Drosophila melanogaster: one gene and its partners. The protein of the gene in region 3 interacts with the protein of the main gene of each other region in a pairwise test. Each region holds a gene or a part of one and is shown on either strand. Other genes may lie near its edges.

Region 1 (3,204 bases), on a different chromosome or scaffold from region 3:
CAGTAGACGTTGTTAAGCTTGCCTGAAGAAAAGATCCCAGTTGAATGCTTGCTTTCAATGGTTTGATTCTTTCCACTTACCCGCCGTCTTGCTTTTGCTGTAGTTCTTGCCAGCATGCGCTCCCGTATTGGTATTCCAGATCATCATCACCTCATCGCCGTCAATGGACACGAGCAGAGTTTCCAAGTGGGTGCTGTTCACGGATGTCAAGCTGATGGTCTCCGCGCTGATGGCCGGCACAACTTGGAGATTACTCTGAGGCTCAGACTTGGTCTGCGGTGTTCCTGAAGCATGTACCTCGGCCTGGTGGTAGATGTGATGCAATACTTCTCTTTTGGGCTTTGCTGCCTCGCCATCGACGATCACGGCATCATCACTGGACGAGCTGTACTGGATGACCTCCAGACTGCCCTCGGTCGAGTCGCTGGCATCGTTCTTGTTGCTAATGGTGCTGGCATCACTTAAGGGACCCGTAGGCTTTGTGGGCTCGCAGTCATGCAGCGTGACCTCCACGTGCTGCGTTTTATCCTCCTGGCGACTGGCTAAGAGTTCGGCTTTCACACTCTCGCAGGCCTCAACGAAATCTAAGACAGCGGCACCAGCTGGCTTCTCTAGACCCACAAATTCGCCGCCACAATCCTCTGAAGATTTGCGGCGGCGTTCAGCTATAGGTGCACCGAACTCGTACTCAAGATGATCAAAGTTGTATATGTCGAAAGGGTCGTCGGATTCGGCTGCCTTCGATTTGGTCAGTGGTGGTGGCTTTGTCTTGGGTTTCTCCTCCTGGCCGCCATTGCGGCTTCGCCACTCTTCAGCACTTAACGCCAGATTATTGGTTTTTTCGTCCTCGGCAGCAGGCACCTCCCGCCAGGCTAAGCCGCATATGGGCGCTTTGTGGCCGTGGAACTTGTAGACGATGTTCATTTTGCGCAGATCGCAGACCAGCACATTACCCATAGCCGTTCCCACAGCGAACAAATTGTCATTGTAGGGCGAGCAGCGCACCATAGTGAGTTGGTGATTTCGGGGCGAGATGAAAGTGGAGCGACGGCAGTAGGTGTTGGATGCCACACAATAGATGACCAGATCACTGGCGTCCATGGATAGAATGTTACCATTGGCCAGGTAGCTCATCAGCACGGAGTTGGTAGTGTGGTGCACGACGCGCACATCCCGCGCCTCGTGCTGGTGCTGATGGGCCTTGTGCCCGATGACGGCTTCGCCCAATGCGCAGTCCCACACCTGAACGCTTAGATCGTCGCCCACAATGGCGAATGGCTTGGTCGGCCCACCGTTGCCCAAGCCCCACATGGGACTAACGTCCAGGGCCAGTATGTTGATCCGCGTCGACATGGTCACCACTTGGGGCTGCTCTCCGTTTGCCGGCGGCGCGGATATGTAGTTGATGCAGCGAATGCCGGCGTACAGCAAACCGCCGTCGGGAGCAGCGGCCGCCAAAGATACGTTGCCCGGCGGTGTGGGCACATTGTGGTACATCACCTGCGAGTTCATGGCGAACAATAAGGACTTGGCATCTGCAGGATGAAGGAATATTTCCCGCTAACAGTTGGCGTCGTTCGGGGAAAAAACTTCTGTAAAGCTGTTAGTGTTAGGCAGCTTCTTAAACTTTGCCAGCGATGCCACCTGGAAGGCACGGAACTTAACAGTTAATTAAAATTGATAATAATTAAAATATAAATTTGTTATTTTCGAACTTGTATTTATAACAAAAATCTGGATCTGCTTTATATAAATAATTTAAAAATATAACTAAGTACCTTATGCTACAAAGCCTAAAATCTAGGGATCACGTTAGCTTTAGTATATTTAAATTACCCGCTATTTACCACAGACGTTTTTTGTCTATCTGCCAACTCTATGCAATCCATTTCCTGTGAATGGCAACCAGCAGGTAGAGAGGAAGAAGAAGACACACAATAACAACGCAAAAAAAAAAGGTAGAAAAATCTAGCAAATTCTAAAAGTCTCCGTAAAAATAAAATACAATCGGCCACAATGGAAGCAAAGCGCGAGAGAAAGTCATCCCTGGTACGTACCTTGTAGATATATGCGAAGAAGAAAGAAAACCCTGATAGAAGTGCGATTTTCAGGCACCACTTTCGCCATGTCCAATTCCGGATATTACCGATGACGATTTGGTGAGCATTTCGGTAAGGGATCTTAATCGGACCCTCAAGATGCGTGGCCTGAACCGCGAGGAGATCGTTCGGATGAAGCAGCGCCGGAGAACCTTAAAGAATCGCGGATACGCAGCCAGTTGCCGCATCAAGAGAATCGAACAGAAGGACGAGCTGGAGACTAAGAAGTCGTACGAGTGGACGGAACTGGAGCAGATGCACGAGGACAACGAGCAGGTGCGCCGCGAGGTGTCCAACTGGAAGAACAAGTACAAGGCGCTGCTGCAGTTCGCCATCCAGAACGAGATACCCATTCCCAGCGAGCTGGAGGGCTGCTGAACGATTGCCCAGTCACATTCCTGTTTCTGTCAAAATTACAATAAACCCAAAACGGAAAAAAACACCTGTAACTAAAGTACAATAGCTGGCAAATATCCTTCCTCAATAAACGTAATCTGCTCAAGAACCTCTGCATCGCCTTTATTGAAGCACCCTGTATTTAGCATAAACAAAACCCGTGTCGGCGCTGCGCTGCGAATGTCATAAGATCCGGAGCGCACAAGGAACTCGGCAAAAGGCTGGTGGTTATGTATTCATCTCGATAGCTCCGCTCTCCAACCAGTTCATCCATGGCATTTCGGTTCTTTGGCAAGTCCTTGCTGTACGCTCTGCCACTTGGCGTCACTTTCCTGGACTGCGTTGGTTATGTGGCCAGGGTGGATGGTGAGTCGTCCGGAGTTTATTCGCTCCATGTTAGTGTGCGCTAATTAATCCACAACTTTTTGCAGGCATCTCCATGCAGCCCGCTCTCAATCCCGTGCCGGATGAAAAGGACTATGTGTTCCTGCTGCGCTGGGGCACCCACAACAGTCAGGTGGAGCGCGGCGACATAATATCGCTCATTTCACCCAAGGATCCCGCCCAGAAGATTATCAAGCGCGTGGTGGGGCTGCAGGGCGACGTCGTGTCCACGCTGGGCTACAAGCACGAGATCGTTCGCGTACCCGAAGGACATTGTTGGGTGGAGGGCGATCACACAGGCCACTCCATGGACAGCAATACCTTT
Region 2 (3,227 bases), on a different chromosome or scaffold from region 3:
AACCACAAGAAATTCACTGGAGCTCTGAAGCGAAAGCGCAGCATGGATGCGGACTCTGATGACGATGTGGTCTTCATTATGGAACAGCCGGGCCAACGCACTCCAGAGCAGCCGCAGCCTAAGCGTCGCTTCTTCCGACCCTGGATGGATGAGTCTCCGGAAGAGGAGCAACCACAGCCGCCACGTAAGATTGTGGCTACATCGACACCGCCGCCACAACAAGTGGATGGCACCTACCACGCTAACATGGTGCGCAATCACCACAAGCGCCGCCAGCGCAGTCCACAGGAGCAACTGCGTCGGGATCGCAACACCTTGGCCAGCCTGCGCCATCGACGCTCCCAGCAGCAACAGCAGCAGCTCATCGAACAACAATACCTGACCAGTCGCATTCAGCACGAGGCCAATCTGCAGCAGCAGATCCGCCTGAGTCTCTACTATGTGCGCTTCCTGCAGCAGGCGATGGCCTCCACGGAGCCACTGCCTCCCACACAGCCAAGGCACATGATGCCGCGCCAACAGACCACCACCCAGCATCCTTGAAGGGTGGACATGGTGCAACGACTGGGCGCTGCTCAATGCGCCCTAACTTATTGTAGAAAAGCTGAATAGTGATTGTGATTACTTTTAAAGTTTAATTTATTTATCTGGTTGACTAAACAATAAACACACTAATTGTTATCGAAATAACTTGTAATTTTTATAGAATTTTGTAATAATTGGTTTTTAGTTGGTTTCTGATTGATTGAAATCTAACTCGGGGTCTTATTTATTGAATCTTATTTGGAAGTCTGATATTTCTTTTCCGCCGTTTAACATCATGAGGATTTGTTCTAGACCAAAACTGACCGGAAGCATCAGCTCATAAGAGTTACCTCACTTGGTTTTTCTGCCATTATATAACATTAAATACATCTTATGTAATTAATTTCTTGGAAGCGCAATTTGCAATGCTAATTAAGGTGTGAAGTAATTCTAGTGATTCACATAGCCAGACTACAGTGAGAATTGAATCGATTCGGCACGAGTGACATATTGTGGGAAACACGGAATAAAATTGTAATTTATTTCAGTTGGATTTAATTATTTAATTTATAAACAAATCAGCATAGCGAACGAACAAAGTGCTTGCAAAATAATTAAAACACGGTGACAATAAGATCCGCCTTTATATTTAAATAATCATCAATGAAATCATCATATTGTTGTCCGCGATTAAAAATTGCGCAGATAAATAAATCTTAATATACTAAATTATTTACACGAATAGTGTTTTACTAATTCATTTATATATATGATATATGCCGTATACATGTTTGTACGAAGTTTATTTAACTCTTTAAATATTTTTAAAGGCGTGTTTTACTACCTAAACTAATAAATGGATTAAATATATTTAATTCACCTCTCAAGACTTCCATGAATGCAATTCCTTCTCCGTAAACTGAAATCGCATCTGTCAGCAGTCTTTAAAAATCCTTGACACTTTTTTCTAACCACCGACCAGGACATATAATGCCATGTCATTCTAGAGGAAAAGTGTTCGGCAAAGGACCCTCGAGAATTTCCAGGGAATTAAAACAAAGTGTGCTGAGGAACCAGGAGCCAAAGGGACCACACACGGTGCCACAACAAATTGTGTCATGCAGGTCAATAAAAAAATGCATCGCCTGCATAACAGTTGTTCGGTCCAGAACTTTCCTGTTCCGGTGGCCACATTTGTCCGATAATCCAGGTAATCCACACACCAAAAAAAGGATAATGAGGCAATCCTGCGACGACAATTAGCGCTGTGATAGAGCAGGTCATAAAATATGCTGCTTAATCCAGGACGGAGATTACCTAATGCGGAATGGATGCGCTAATCCCTTTGTTGACAGACCCAAAACAAAGGGATTTCCCTATGTGGCTACCTGTACCGCCTACCTACTGTGCTTATAACCAGGATATCAATCTCGAAGCCAATCATTCAGCAAGCGATCGTCCAACGAGTCACATCATCACCACAACTCATTCGGAGTCATATTATCGAAATACAAAAATGGAGAACTCATCGAGCTACACCCACAAGAAGTTTGCCGTCAGCAAGCGGAAACGGGAAGTGGACCATGACAAGGAGAACCAAACTCAGCAGTCGGAACAGCCGATCTTCAAGCGCCGTCAGACACAGGGATTCTTCCGACCTTGGTTGGATAATGAGCAGAACCAACAGGCGGAGAAGGAGACGTCAACGGCGGCGAAACCCAGTGGCCCAGGATCCTCGGTCAGCCAGTACCGTGCCAACATGGTGCGCCGCAGTAACACCAATCGTCAGCGAAGCCCCAAGGAGCAGATGCGCCGCGATAGAAACACGCTGGCTTGCCTACTCAGCCGGCGGGCCAAGCAGGCACAGGAGGAGCAAGTGGGTCAGCAGTACGAGCAGTATCGGAGTCATCATGCCGCCATGCTGGAACAGCAGGTGCGCCTCAGTCTATACTACCGCCACATCCTCCAACAGGCGGTGTTCCAGCGTGCCATAAATCCGGCACCGGGTCACATCCTGCCGCAGCAGCAACAACAGTTCCTCCAGCAGATGGCCCTCTCCCAGCAGATGCTCATCTTTGGTGGCCAGCACTGCTGACCGTCCAAAATCATATCATAATCAGCGACTATGGATAGCCCAATCATGTGATTTAGTTTATTAAGCCTTAATTATTAATATTTATTGTTGACTTTGAAATAAATCAAAAGTTATGCATTTAATTTAAATTGCCGGTTTTGTTAACTGGGGGTTATCACTTGGAAAATTCGAAATTTAATCTAAAATGATTGTTAAATTTGTTAGGAGGTCAGTGGATCGCAACCATTACATTTTTTTACATATGTATAATAATGCTATATATATTAGGATTTTAAACATCTTTAAGTTAACCCACCGGCTTGAAAAATAGTAAAATTATATAAAATGATTAAGAGATCAATTATCATTTCTAATTTAATTACAACCTAATCGTGATCATAATATATAAAATTTATGGTATAATTTTTAGCTCAATAAAACTAAAAGTACTGCTATCAAAAGTAGATTATCTATTATTTGATATGACTTTTGGTAAAAAAGGGCTCAATCAAGGGCTCAAAAACCACTTACTCCAGTGACTTGTCTGACCACTGGAGTAAGTGAGTCATCGAAGCATTGACAGATTTTTCCGAGAAACCATTTACCCAGAGTGCCATTACCCAGCAAA
Region 3 (4,937 bases):
CATACGGGTTGTGATCCATATCCAGGCGGTGTACCGTCCGCAGCATCTCCAGCTCCCATCCATCGCCATGGGTGCCCAATTCCAGCTGCGAGTCCCAGCGATGGAGCAGGTAATCGGGATTATAATGCAGCAGACTCAAGGCCAAAGCCAGCTGCAGCATTTTCATAGCGTACGATTTTTTGTTTGAGATCATTTTGTTGCTTTCAGAGGTTTCGATACGTGAGCGAATGGGTGCGTGGGTGACTCTTGTAGTCCGTAGTCCACCTCCGCCCGCCGCCTCCTCCTCCTCCTCCTCCTCCTCCGCTGCTGTTGTTCTTGTTGTTCTCCGTCCCGGACAACAGCTCTACGGCTGCGTCGTCCGGGATCTATGCGTTCAATGACGTCGCCTTGCCCCGCCTTCCGGCCTCCTCCTCCTCCTCCTCCTTCGGCGTTCCGAAATCTGCGCAAAAAGCTGAAAATTCGCAGTTTCCACGGCCTATCTCCCCGATTTTCCAATGCTCTTTGCTTTTAATTGATGGCTGTCCTCGGTTTTGTTCTGTAAGCAAATCAAGATGTGACAACAAATAGAATGGAATTAGTAAGCATAACGATTTGCTAACTATATGTACATATGCAAGTATGTAGATATGTAGTGTAATATTCATACATTGCCGCATGGCCATATATGCAGTTTGAATGTTAAATGAAAATGCTTTTGTTTCGAGTGGTGCAGCCTTTGTTTTGTTTGCCAGTCGATTTTATAAATTGCTAAGCACGAGGAAGTGCACCAAAGAAAGTTCAACTTCCGGGTCGGTAACGTCTTTTATTAAAAACACATCTAATTTCCACATCGCGATTATATTAGGATTCATATTTATTTAGCAAAAACGAACACAATTATGTTTTTCTGTTCGCAATTATGTAGTTAAGGTACATAAGTAATACTTTCGAGAGATATTAAAATAAATGAAAGATTGTCGTAAGGAAACATCCCTTATCTCTATTATTTAAACTTGAAATTATAAATGTGCAGAAACACTAACAAGGTTTTGCTACAGAAACACAACACATAGTTTGTTTTCATACCAAACCAAAGTGGATAGCCTAGAAAGGCTGTTATGATGATGACCTAGCGCATTTCAGCATAGTTAATTTCATATTCAGAGACAATTAAGCAGGTCAAGAATCGAATTTTCCGAAATATGTGTGTATAATACATAAATACATATATGCATGTATCCTTCTTTGGTTGTTGTTTTGTCCGAATTCTGTTTGATATCCACAACGCATTTAATATGCCCATCCTGTCCAGCCACACACACACCCCCCCCCCCCTTAAACAAGGTTAACAGACAACCGCCCACCCGAAAAAGGGGGGCGTGAGGCGGAAGGAATGACCCAGACCCAGACGAAATGGCTTTGAACTTGAACTTGTTCAAGGTCTCTCGCGAGCATTTGAAATGTGCGCAATGCGAAGTGAAGCACCCGATTCAAGGACGGACGAAAAAATTGTGTGCAAAATTCTTTCAAGGTTCGATATAAACTTTCTTTGTTTAAAGCCATTTTAACAAAAATCCAAACTTTATTTGGCTCAATTCTCAATGAAAAGATGTGCGCGAGAGAGAGAAAGAGAGGGGTAGGGAAATGACGTGTGCATGTGCGTGCAAGAGAGGGTTCTTGTGTGGGTGTGCGTGTGATTGTGGCTGTATTGCAGTGCACTCACCTCAAATTTTTTTTGGATGATGAGACCCGACTACAACGGTAAAAAAGCTGCGGCGCAGTAAATGTTCTCCTTGTTGTTGTTGCCGTTGCTTGATCTTCTTTTCCTCTTCGCTGCTTCTTCTTCCCTGCAGCACACACAATGGTTTATTGTTTACCGTTCACTTTTCTTTTGCTCTGCAAGACCTTATTTGTTTATGTTTCACTTTCTACGATTTTTACTTTTAATTGCTGGAAAACACGCGTTTTATTTATTTAACAACTTTAAATATATATTTCGCTTGTCTGCGTCCTTGAACTTTCTCTTCTGCAGACAATTTGCATTCAAGTGCCATTAAATATTAATAACAATTGATATTTGATTATGTGCCACCTGGTGCTTCTTTCTCGCCGTCTGGTACGCACTTTTGTGTGAGAGTGTGTGTGGTGGTGGTGCCGTTTTACGTGGTGAAATCGTCACTTATTTGTTAACCCTATATTGGACCTACGTCAAATTAGAATTTGAAGTCATTTGTATGTTAAGATTTTCAAGACAGCTGTAAAATTATTTAACTACGTTAAGGTACAAAAAATTGTCAAGTCCATCAAGGGTTAAAACAATAATATTTTCGCTTCGTTTGTTGTTTTTACACTGCCTAATATTTGCATGTGTTTTGCCTCCACATTGCTTTGTATTTCTTTGTTTTCTTTTATCGCCCGATTCTCGTCTCTCTCTGACTCACACACCAAAAAAAAAGACACGCACACGTTGAAGCATACAACTGCTGTTTTTTCTTGCCAATTCCAATTCGGTCTGTGCCCACAATTAATGCAATTAATTAAATGCAAAACGATTTAATTTTTTGCTGAGAATCGCGGAGAGCAAAACAAATAGGAAAAATGAAATATGGAAGCTTCGAGAATGAGCAGAGAATAACCGGCAACGGCAGCATTTCAACATTCACTCTGCACTTTGCATCAACAAATTATTTATCAAATTGCTAGTTCCTTTTCGTTCCCTATTCTTTCTAACTCGATGTTTTTCTCGATTGCATTCTGTCAGCTGAGCGGTGGAGAGGGAGCGAGAGAGGGAGACTGAGCGCGAGAGCGAGAGGGGGCGATTGCTGAATAACTGTTGTTGCTAGCCTGTTGGTCGTTGTTGTTTTGATTGCCTTTAACCCACCACCCCCACCGACAGTACCACCACCACACAATGAGTTGCACTTATTTAGTGGGGCATGCAACATTTCGCAACTGTAGTTCTTAAACGCACAACCGAAACTTTTTCATTTGTTGTTCCGGCACACAAGCACACGCAGCCAGACACGCACACACACACACACACAATTTAAGCGGCGTGTACTTCGCACCTTTACGCGTCTTCTTTCACTGTTATTTGGCAAATTATTGTCGCGTCCGCTTTGCTACTCTCTTTCGCCAACCGCCGTACCTACGTGGTGAGCTTGAAAACGTGTTTTGTTTGTTACGCCGCGTTTGGCAATTTCTCCGCCGTCGAAATCAGTCGCGATTTTCGATTGCGGCCTCAAAACATTTGAGGCAAAAAACGTCTGTCCAGCGCGGTGCTTTTATCAAGTGTGCCCAGTTGAGGCTCTTTGCAGACGATTTTGTTGAGTTTTGTGCTTTTGCGGTTTTTTTCGGGGCCGCCAAGTGCGGTCTCACCATAATACATTGTGCTTTTAACAGAAATGTTAAATGTAGCTTAAACTAACAGTGACAGAAAGAGCTTTTTAAAGGAGAGCTAGAAATGTAGATTTCGGTTACAAATGTATCTTTATTACCTACCTTTTATTTCTAGATTTAGTTTTTAGAAAGAATATCTTAAGAATATAAAGAACATATTTATATTTTCCCTAAGAGTAACTTATGTAGACATGGTGGCTATTGCAATTTTATGTAGATATGGTGTAAGCTTATAAGCTTTTGACACGTGTCCATGCAAATTTTTCAGTTAATTTGCATTAGTCATTTTTTTAACTAGTTCTACATAACAAAGTTGAAATTTGTATTAAAATTAAAAATAAAGGGATATATATAGTTTTATATTTCCTTAATATTAATTTAAAATAATTTTTTTTCATGATATTGATATTGATATTCTACATGCATGCAAAAATACAAATATCTTAACAATAACTTCCGTTAGCTATTGATATCACAAATGGATACATTTGTATTAGACTTGCTCAATAAAACAGATAGCCACACTATTCAGAACGTGTAATTCAAAATATAGCTAGAAGACTATCAATCTATCTAAAAGACCTGCTCATAAAAATTAATTTAGATTGATGGGGGTAATTTATAGATATATTGCGTTCTGAACTGGGAACATTTGTGCTGGCATTTGGATAAAGTAATTAACACCGAAGCCTTTCAATACTTACCAGATTGGTAAAATGGAAGCCACCTTTCCAAATGTTGGTCTTGGCGTTACCTGGCGTCGTCGATTGGGTGATGGATGGCGTTGGCTTGGCCAGTACAGCGGGCGTGGAAGCCACCGTGGGCTTAATCAGCTTACTCAACTTCGAGGGTGGTCCAATGGGCACCCGGACGGTGACCTTCTTCTTCGGATTCAGCTGCAATTGGGTCTGGTGGTAGGTATATTCGATGTCCTTCGCCGGGGACAAGGATTGCAGCCGAGGCAGATCCTCTAAGTCGATCATTATTGCTTATCAGCTGGCACAAATGGTGATGAGTCAATATGTCAACTGGAATGAAAGCGAACACACAGATAAGGATGGGTCACTAGGTTGACTAGGCTTTTTTTTAGGATGGTGGTTTTGAACTTAATAATTCTGTTCCGACATTAAATATAAACAGTTTGTTTTCGGCGTATAAGAAAATGTGTTTTTACTCATTTTGATCAATGTGACAGATCAAAGATATAATAAATTCATATATATTTTAGTAGCCATACTCGTGTGATTTTATTTTTAATTTCTTCGAATTCCCTGCTAGTAACTTTATCGAACTTTCACTGTAAATGAGCTATAAAAACTGATAAGCGAACTTCGACGGGTGGAATTCAAAAATGAGATATAGCCAACCTAATGGTTTGTTTTATTTGCCATTTATTGAGAAAATTACACACATTCACACAAATTCAAATGTAGATAAGTACAGTGGATGCCCAACAACAATATCAACTCCCACGAGAATCCAGAAAGATAACCGCGTGGAAACGGCATTCATTATCTATCAATTGATTTGGGAACAAAGTATTAGGTATCAGTAACCAT
Region 4 (6,734 bases), 6.1 Mb from region 3:
AAAAACTACATAGAACATCGAGATAATCTCCATTATAGTTGTATACCATATATGCATTTGAATAGTATAATATGGGCATAGAATCATTTAAAACAAAAAACTTAAATTGTATTTCAGAAAGCCATTGAATTGGGCTGGAAGACAGTGCGAGTAAAGGTTCGTGGTCTTGGCCCTGGAAGAATGGTATGTTCAATACTTTTTGTCTCTCATGTCACTTAAAAATAATTAAATGTTTTGATTCAGTCGGCCATCAAAGGACTGCAAATGGGTGGGCTGAACATCGTTTCCATTACCGACAACACACATGTTTCCTTCAATCCTCCAAGACCCCGAAAGCAGAGAAGTCTTTAATGTGCAACTTGTTAAGACAACTTGTTTAAAAGCAAAATACACAAATAGTCGTTTACAAACAAATACGAAAACAACAGTTTATCTTTCTAATGGAATAAATAGCACTGTCACGGTGAGTTTTATTAGGAAGATATTTGAATATGGCCTTTTTGTTGCCACGGCCAAAGGTTTGCACAAGATTAATAGCAAAAAGATTAAATAACTTTGTAAAATATGTTTGTTTTATTTTTCTTAAATTATTTGCTTTCTTTTCTTAAAACCTATTTTGGATGCGCATAATTCCTCTTCTTATCCTACGTTAAAAAAAGTACAATACGCAATCTATCAGTTTGGATACCTACAAAATACGTAAAATACGAACTTTCCTCCCACTAATCAACTATTAACCCTAATCAATCTTTTTAAAATGGGCTGACGAGCGCCAGTTATGTTATGGATGCCATAAAAACGGTTTGACTAATTATCACCTAGCGAACACACTAGTAAGTAATATTACAATGGAATGCTGCTTCTCAACATGGAATTCTAGGGGATACGATCAGGCTTTGTACAATGAATGATGTTTTTGGTTGAGGCTAAGCGTGAGGCTCGGATTCGTATTGTCATGTGGCTGCGCTCGTGAGTTTTCGCAGGCGACCTTCGATGTGATGGTGAAAAACTTTCGCTGCTGTGCTAAATAAACATTCTTTTTGTGCTTTTTTTAATTTATGCCGCATATCATTAGCATTTCTCTCATCATCTGTGAAAGACGCTGGTGGAGTTCTTCGAAATCTTTCCTGCATTCTGGACCAAGGACAGTTTGGATTGACTAGCTCCTCGGATCTAATGGCGGGAATTTGAAAACTATGGTGTTCTGCAGGAATATATGGTTTTATATCCATTTCCGAGTCACAATTGTTGCAGCCGCTCATTCCGTATGAAGTATGAAACTGCATATTGGACGCCGTCCCAGGATAATGTGGACTCCCACTGCCGTACGTGTTTTGTGGTGTATGAGCATTCCTTTCCCCGTTGTTACTTCCATCCGGGTGTGGGGCGTCACTATCTTCGTAGTCCATAAACGTGGTGGAACACGCCGGCTGATAAATAACCGCCGACGCATGACCCGATCTTCCCGATTTTAGTGGTGTTCCTGTTGTCCACGTATTTGTTCGTGGATCGTAGACCTCGACTATGGACAGAAAGTTGTTGCCATCGAATCCACCAATGGCGTACAGTTTTTCGTCCAGCGGAGTCAGCGAGAGAGCACTGCGTGCGATTTGAATTGGCGCAACCATGTCCCAGGTATCGTTTTCGGTATCATAACGCTCCACGGTGGCTAGTTGACGGGTGCCATCGAAGCCACCAACAACGTAGATGTACTGGTTAATTGCAGCAACACCTGATAGCAATTAAATCGGAACTTAGTTGGAAATTAGATAACAGGATGCGCCAGTCATTCTTACCCGCTCCACTGCGACCCGTTTGTAGTGGTGGCAAAAAACTCCACTCATTGTTCTCCGGATGGTAGCACTCCACGCTGGCCAAGCGCTCGTTTCCATCGAAACCTCCGATGGCATAAAGCAGACGGTTGACCACCACAACACCCACTCCCAAGCGCTTGGCATGCATCGGCTGTACAAGAGTCCAGCGATCCAAATCGGGGTCATAGCTGCAAGAGATTTAAATAAATAGGGTTTGCTAAACTATGTCGATAGAATAAACAACCAGAAAGGCTTTGTCAAATTAATTAAACTATTATCTATTGAAATGATGAACACTACTTACTATTCCACCGTGTTGTGGTACTCCATGCCGGCGGACCCGCCTACGGCGTACATCAGCTCGTCCATCACGGCCACGCCCACTCGATGGCGTGGCACGGACATGGGAGCGCACGGACGCCATGTTTCGGTGACTGCACTATAGCGATCCACCCAATCCGAGTCGTAGGAAGATCCAATGTTGTTATTTCTGCCTCCAACCGCATAGAACTTGCCCTTGAGAAAGGCGGCACCCAAACCAGATCTTGGAATGCGTAGATTTGCCAGTGTCGTCCACGTCATGTCGTCTACATTGTAGGCCTCCAGAATGTCCAGTGAGTGACGAAAAAAGCCACCGGCGACAAATATCATCCTTGTGGTGTTGGGGGTTCGTTCCTTGACTCCTGGACACTTGTGCAGCGTTAAGTCCTTAAAGATCTTGGCCAAATACTCCCGACAGGCGGGCACCTTTCGCAGAACATCGCAGTTTTTCATCTGCTCCTTGAGGAAGTTGGGCGTAAGGAACTGACAACGGACAGCGCCCAAAATGTGCTCCATTTTACAGTGTCGATTGTCCTCGTCGTATTTCACCCACTTTAGCACAGCGTTGTAAACCTCTCGCTCCTCCTGCACATTCAGTTCATCCCTTCGTATCAGGGCAATCAACTGATATGCCGAAAGCTGCAGGAATTCCTCCTCTTGGCACACCTTAGGGGAACTCAGTAGCTATAGTTTTGTGTACTCTTTTCATATCGTAAATAGGTTACCTGAGTGAAATTTCGCTCAATAAACACATTGGCCTTCTTTTGCAGCTCAACACAGCCGTGTTGCTCAGCAAAGTGGGCGATGCCAATGGCATTCGTGGGATCCAATTGGCGCTCCAGAAAGGCACAGCAGGCATCGATTACGTTTGGCACTTGGAACATGGTGGCCGCGGGCAGGAGTTGGCACACCGTTACCTCGGTCACACGTATTTGGCCGGTGTACATGAAGTAGAGGATGCGTGACATGGCCGTGGGACACACCTGTAACACCGAAACGGACGAACTGTTCATCCATTAAACCAACCAATTAAGGGCCGCGCTTGAGCTCAACTTACCCCTTGGAGCTGGACGCGCGACATCTCCGACTCCTTGAGTCCCCCCGTGAACATGGCCTTGAAGTAGGGCGATGCCGCCGACAGCACCACTTTGTGGGCGGGAAAGAGCTCCTTCTTCACCTCGAGTACCACGTCCGTGAGCATGCCGTGCGAACGCATCATGTACATCATCTTCAGGGCCTCCTTGGCGTAATTGGACATGCAGAAGGTCATGTCATCATCCGTAGCATCGTGATCATCTAGGGTCGAGTGCGCCGATCCGAATCGACCACCGCATGAGATGGAACAACTTTCCGAAGTGTTGCTCATCTCAGCCTCTGGAAAATCGAGGAATAGATCATATTGTAATTCCAGGACATATTTCAGAAAATATTCAATTAATTTTAATTATTTAACAATTAATTTAATAATAATTAATAATTATATTAAATAGTAATTAATTATTATTAATTATTATTAATCTTAAAACCAATACACGCCCTACAGTTGAGCCCTGTAACCCTTGTACCTCGTACCTCATCCATCGCAAATAGATCGACAATCAGCGCGGGCTATTTATTCTATTTTATTATCTAATCTGTTATGAATTTGCAAAAAAATTAAAAATGGCACTTTAAAGAAATCCTCCAAGTGTGAAATGACGTACTATATTATGGATATCCAAGATAACCGAAAGGTTAGATACGACCGACCTTTAATACGTTCTAGAAATTAAAGCGGTCATTTATTTTGTTTTTGAATGCGAATAAGTTGGTAAGTTTATGAGTTGGTAATTTGGTAAATTGGGCTTAAAGATTTATAAGCTCTCGATTAGAAAACTAAGATAAGATTAAGGTAAATTATCTGTTTATTTCAAGAACACTCTTTCGAATGGATACTACATTGCCAACCGGAATTTGCATTGTCAACACAAACCAGTTTCTTTCGCGATAATATTTCAAATGTCTCTAATTATTCAAACGTCCAAATCGAGCAATGCAACCTGGATAAGTGCCGTTTCACTCCATTAATTTTTATCATCTCACATTCAACTACAAGTGACTTCACTGTAGCACAATCTGGAATCGTTTTCGCCAATCATTGTGGGCTGTTTCAGAGAACTTGATTCGCAATGCGCACCGTCATGATCAGTGGTTTCTTTTTTTTTTACCAAAAGCACGCGTAGCGAAAATATCTGGCAAACTTGTTGCGAATTGAACTGTAGACCCAAGGTCAAATCCAGAACTTTAAAAAAAACCAACCTTCTGGGCGGCAGGGGTATCCCTTGTGGTTGGGCATGTCGGAGATGTGGGTCTCATATTGCATGGGCGAGTGCATTTGGGTTTGCATTTTGGCACTAATCTCGGATCGATAGGGATCCTTCACAGCTTCGTTAGTTCGGTAGAGATAGTTTCAATAATCAATAGTTTCGCAAACAAAGACTGAAAGTCCGTGTGAAAATGAAAGCGCGCGATCAGCTGCTTCTCCGCAAATCCGCTCCGGCGATCATGCGTGTGCCGTGGAGAGAGCCCGTCAACTGACTGCCGTGGTCTGCGTCTGCCCAGCCACAGAGCCCACCGAGACTTATCTCTCGCGGGGATGGTGGCGGAGTGGGGGGAGCGTTTCAAAGAGCGTTATCATGCTTACATATGTGTGTGTGTGCACACATGTGCCTGAGTTCTATGTGGCCCTTCCAGGTGAATACACTCCGTGTTGTGGCGATAAAAACTATATAATGCCATGAATGAAACGCACGGCCCGTGGGCGGTTTTTTGGACCGTAACGATGATGCTCACAAATCGTAACCGATGGCAAACATAATTGTTTACCATGTTTACCAGCAACAGGTTTTTGTATGGAGCCTCAGGCTACACAGCGTTTGCAAAAAAATTACGCGTGTCATGCAAGCAGTTAGGAATTTCGTTTTGTTCAAAAGATAGCTAAAATGTGTTCAAAGTCCGTGCCAAATGAACTATTGAATACAATCAAAACAAAAAGCTAAGCTAATTTCGTATGCGCATATCGTGGAATATGTTTAAAAGAGATTACGTCTCTCTATTTTTTATTGCATAGTATTTTAGTCATGATCGGAGTTCTGTCTTAAGGGAATTTCACAACATAAATGGCCATATACACAATATTGTACGGTATATCCGATTAATCATTGTTACCAAGCTCAATTGAAAAGGCAATAAATTTTGAAGTATCAAGTCATGTTCCCAAAACAATTTCAATTTATGAACGCCTTATACACATGACGATAGAAATATTAATATCACTGATACACACTTAAAAAAATTTTTCGCATTAAATGAAGTAACTACAATAATGAAATATTTTTTTTTTTCATTTAATAATATTAAGACACAAAACCCTTTCAAAGATTATCCTTTAATTTTATTATTTATTCTAGAGAAATGTTTACAAAACGTTTAAAATTTATCGTATGTTTTTCTTATCTGAATCACCAAATTAAAACCACTACATATGTACTACACAAATATTTTTGTTTAATCAGATAAGGGCAAAAGGGACTTCCCCCGCCAAAAATCCCATATAAGTATTATGGCGAATCAAACGTACTTTGGAAAATCCACGCCCTTTAATAACATTAGTTCATCAAAGTGCGGCTTTAAATTTCCGCATAAAGTGACGCTGAGTTGGTTGTTGGTAAATGAATGATAAAGGCAAAAACTGGACGAAATAGTGCCGAATCATGCTGAAGAGGCAAAACCTTACACACTGTCACAGTGGTACGTCGGTGTAGGTGAAAACAGCAGCGTAATCAGCACGGATGTTGGGGATGTGTGTTTGTGTGTTTGCAGGTACCGTTGAACTTTGCTTTCACATAAACAAATATTACTCACTTACATTGCTCTCCCTGGGGCGACAGCTGTCACCCTTGCACACACGTACGTACTGTACATACTATTTACATACATACACACACCCGCACTTCCAACGCCATGTGCCAAACAGCTGATAAAGGCCATTGAAACTGAACTCGAAAGAAGGCCACTTAAAACAAACCACTTTGTTGTAAGAGATTACCGCAATGCAGGACAAACATTTACACTTTATCACCAGGGATTTCAAGATCTCACAGATACTTCATATATTTATGTATATAACCACGTAAATCGGCTGGGAAAATACACCGTTAATTTCTCCCTTTGTTTCATTGAGGTTTTCACATGCAGATAAATGTACGATCGTAGACAAATAAAAGGTTTCCCAGCTGGAAACTAAACTATGCGAGGGTCATGCACTTTTTATGCCTTTTTTGCACTTTGTATGTTTTATTTACTGCTACTCACATCTGTATTTATTTATTTTGCCACTACACAACGATTTTTTCTACTCTTCTTCTTAAGGTAAACATGCAAGTGCTGGAAAACGCTCGACACTGAAAGCATGTAATGACAGGAGTTGCCAGATGTCCAACCAGCTGGTGGATATTTATAAAATAAATGGTATACATGATATTAAACCACATTTACAAACAATTTTAATTATTACAACTTTAAAGTTGGTTGTACTGTTTCACTATTCTGATAATTTTT

What was found.
Region 1: the proteins of cnc (region 3) and maf-S interact in a two-hybrid assay, tested with the Drosophila melanogaster proteins (3 studies listed by BioGRID, with this or other methods).
Region 2: the proteins of cnc (region 3) and CG16815 come close enough for resonance energy transfer, tested with the Drosophila melanogaster proteins (one study listed by BioGRID).
Region 4: the proteins of cnc (region 3) and Keap1 interact in a protein complementation assay, tested with the Drosophila melanogaster proteins (one study listed by BioGRID).

Annotation. Positions count from the first base shown.
Region 1 is NT_033778.4:20,639,070-20,642,273, forward strand, and holds maf-S (maf-S), read left to right. Parts: upstream 1-1,906; 5' UTR 1,907-2,016; coding exon 2,017-2,049; intron 2,050-2,096; coding exon 2,097-2,477; 3' UTR 2,478-2,599; downstream 2,600-3,204. Other genes in the region: rig (rigor mortis), read right to left, coding at 1-22, 81-1,512; CG11110 (uncharacterized protein), read left to right, coding at 2,768-2,861, 2,927-3,204.
Region 2 is NT_033779.5:13,227,865-13,231,091, forward strand, and holds CG16815 (uncharacterized protein), read left to right. Parts: upstream 1-1,967; 5' UTR 1,968-2,041; coding exon 2,042-2,620; 3' UTR 2,621-2,685; downstream 2,686-3,227. Other genes in the region: CG16813 (uncharacterized protein), read left to right, coding at 1-543.
Region 3 is NT_033777.3:23,218,715-23,223,651, forward strand, and holds the start of cnc (cap-n-collar), read right to left. Parts: upstream 3,248-4,937; 5' UTR 3,132-3,247; exon of another isoform or gene 3,048-3,131; intron 2,183-3,047; exon of another isoform or gene 1,930-2,182; 5' UTR 1,703-1,929; intron 536-1,702; 5' UTR 194-535; coding exon 1-193. UniProt on the Drosophila melanogaster protein: Plays a role in posterior cephalic patterning. Probable subunit of a heterodimeric regulatory protein involved in the control of head morphogenesis.
Region 4 is NT_033777.3:17,073,385-17,080,118, forward strand, and holds Keap1 (Keap1), read right to left. Parts: upstream 4,719-6,734; 5' UTR 4,522-4,718; coding exon 4,434-4,521; intron 3,510-4,433; coding exon 3,193-3,509; intron 3,119-3,192; coding exon 2,861-3,118; intron 2,802-2,860; coding exon 2,119-2,801; intron 2,003-2,118; coding exon 1,797-2,002; intron 1,733-1,796; coding exon 954-1,732; 3' UTR 558-953; downstream 1-557. Other genes in the region: mRpS11 (mitochondrial ribosomal protein S11), read left to right, coding at 118-183, 244-351.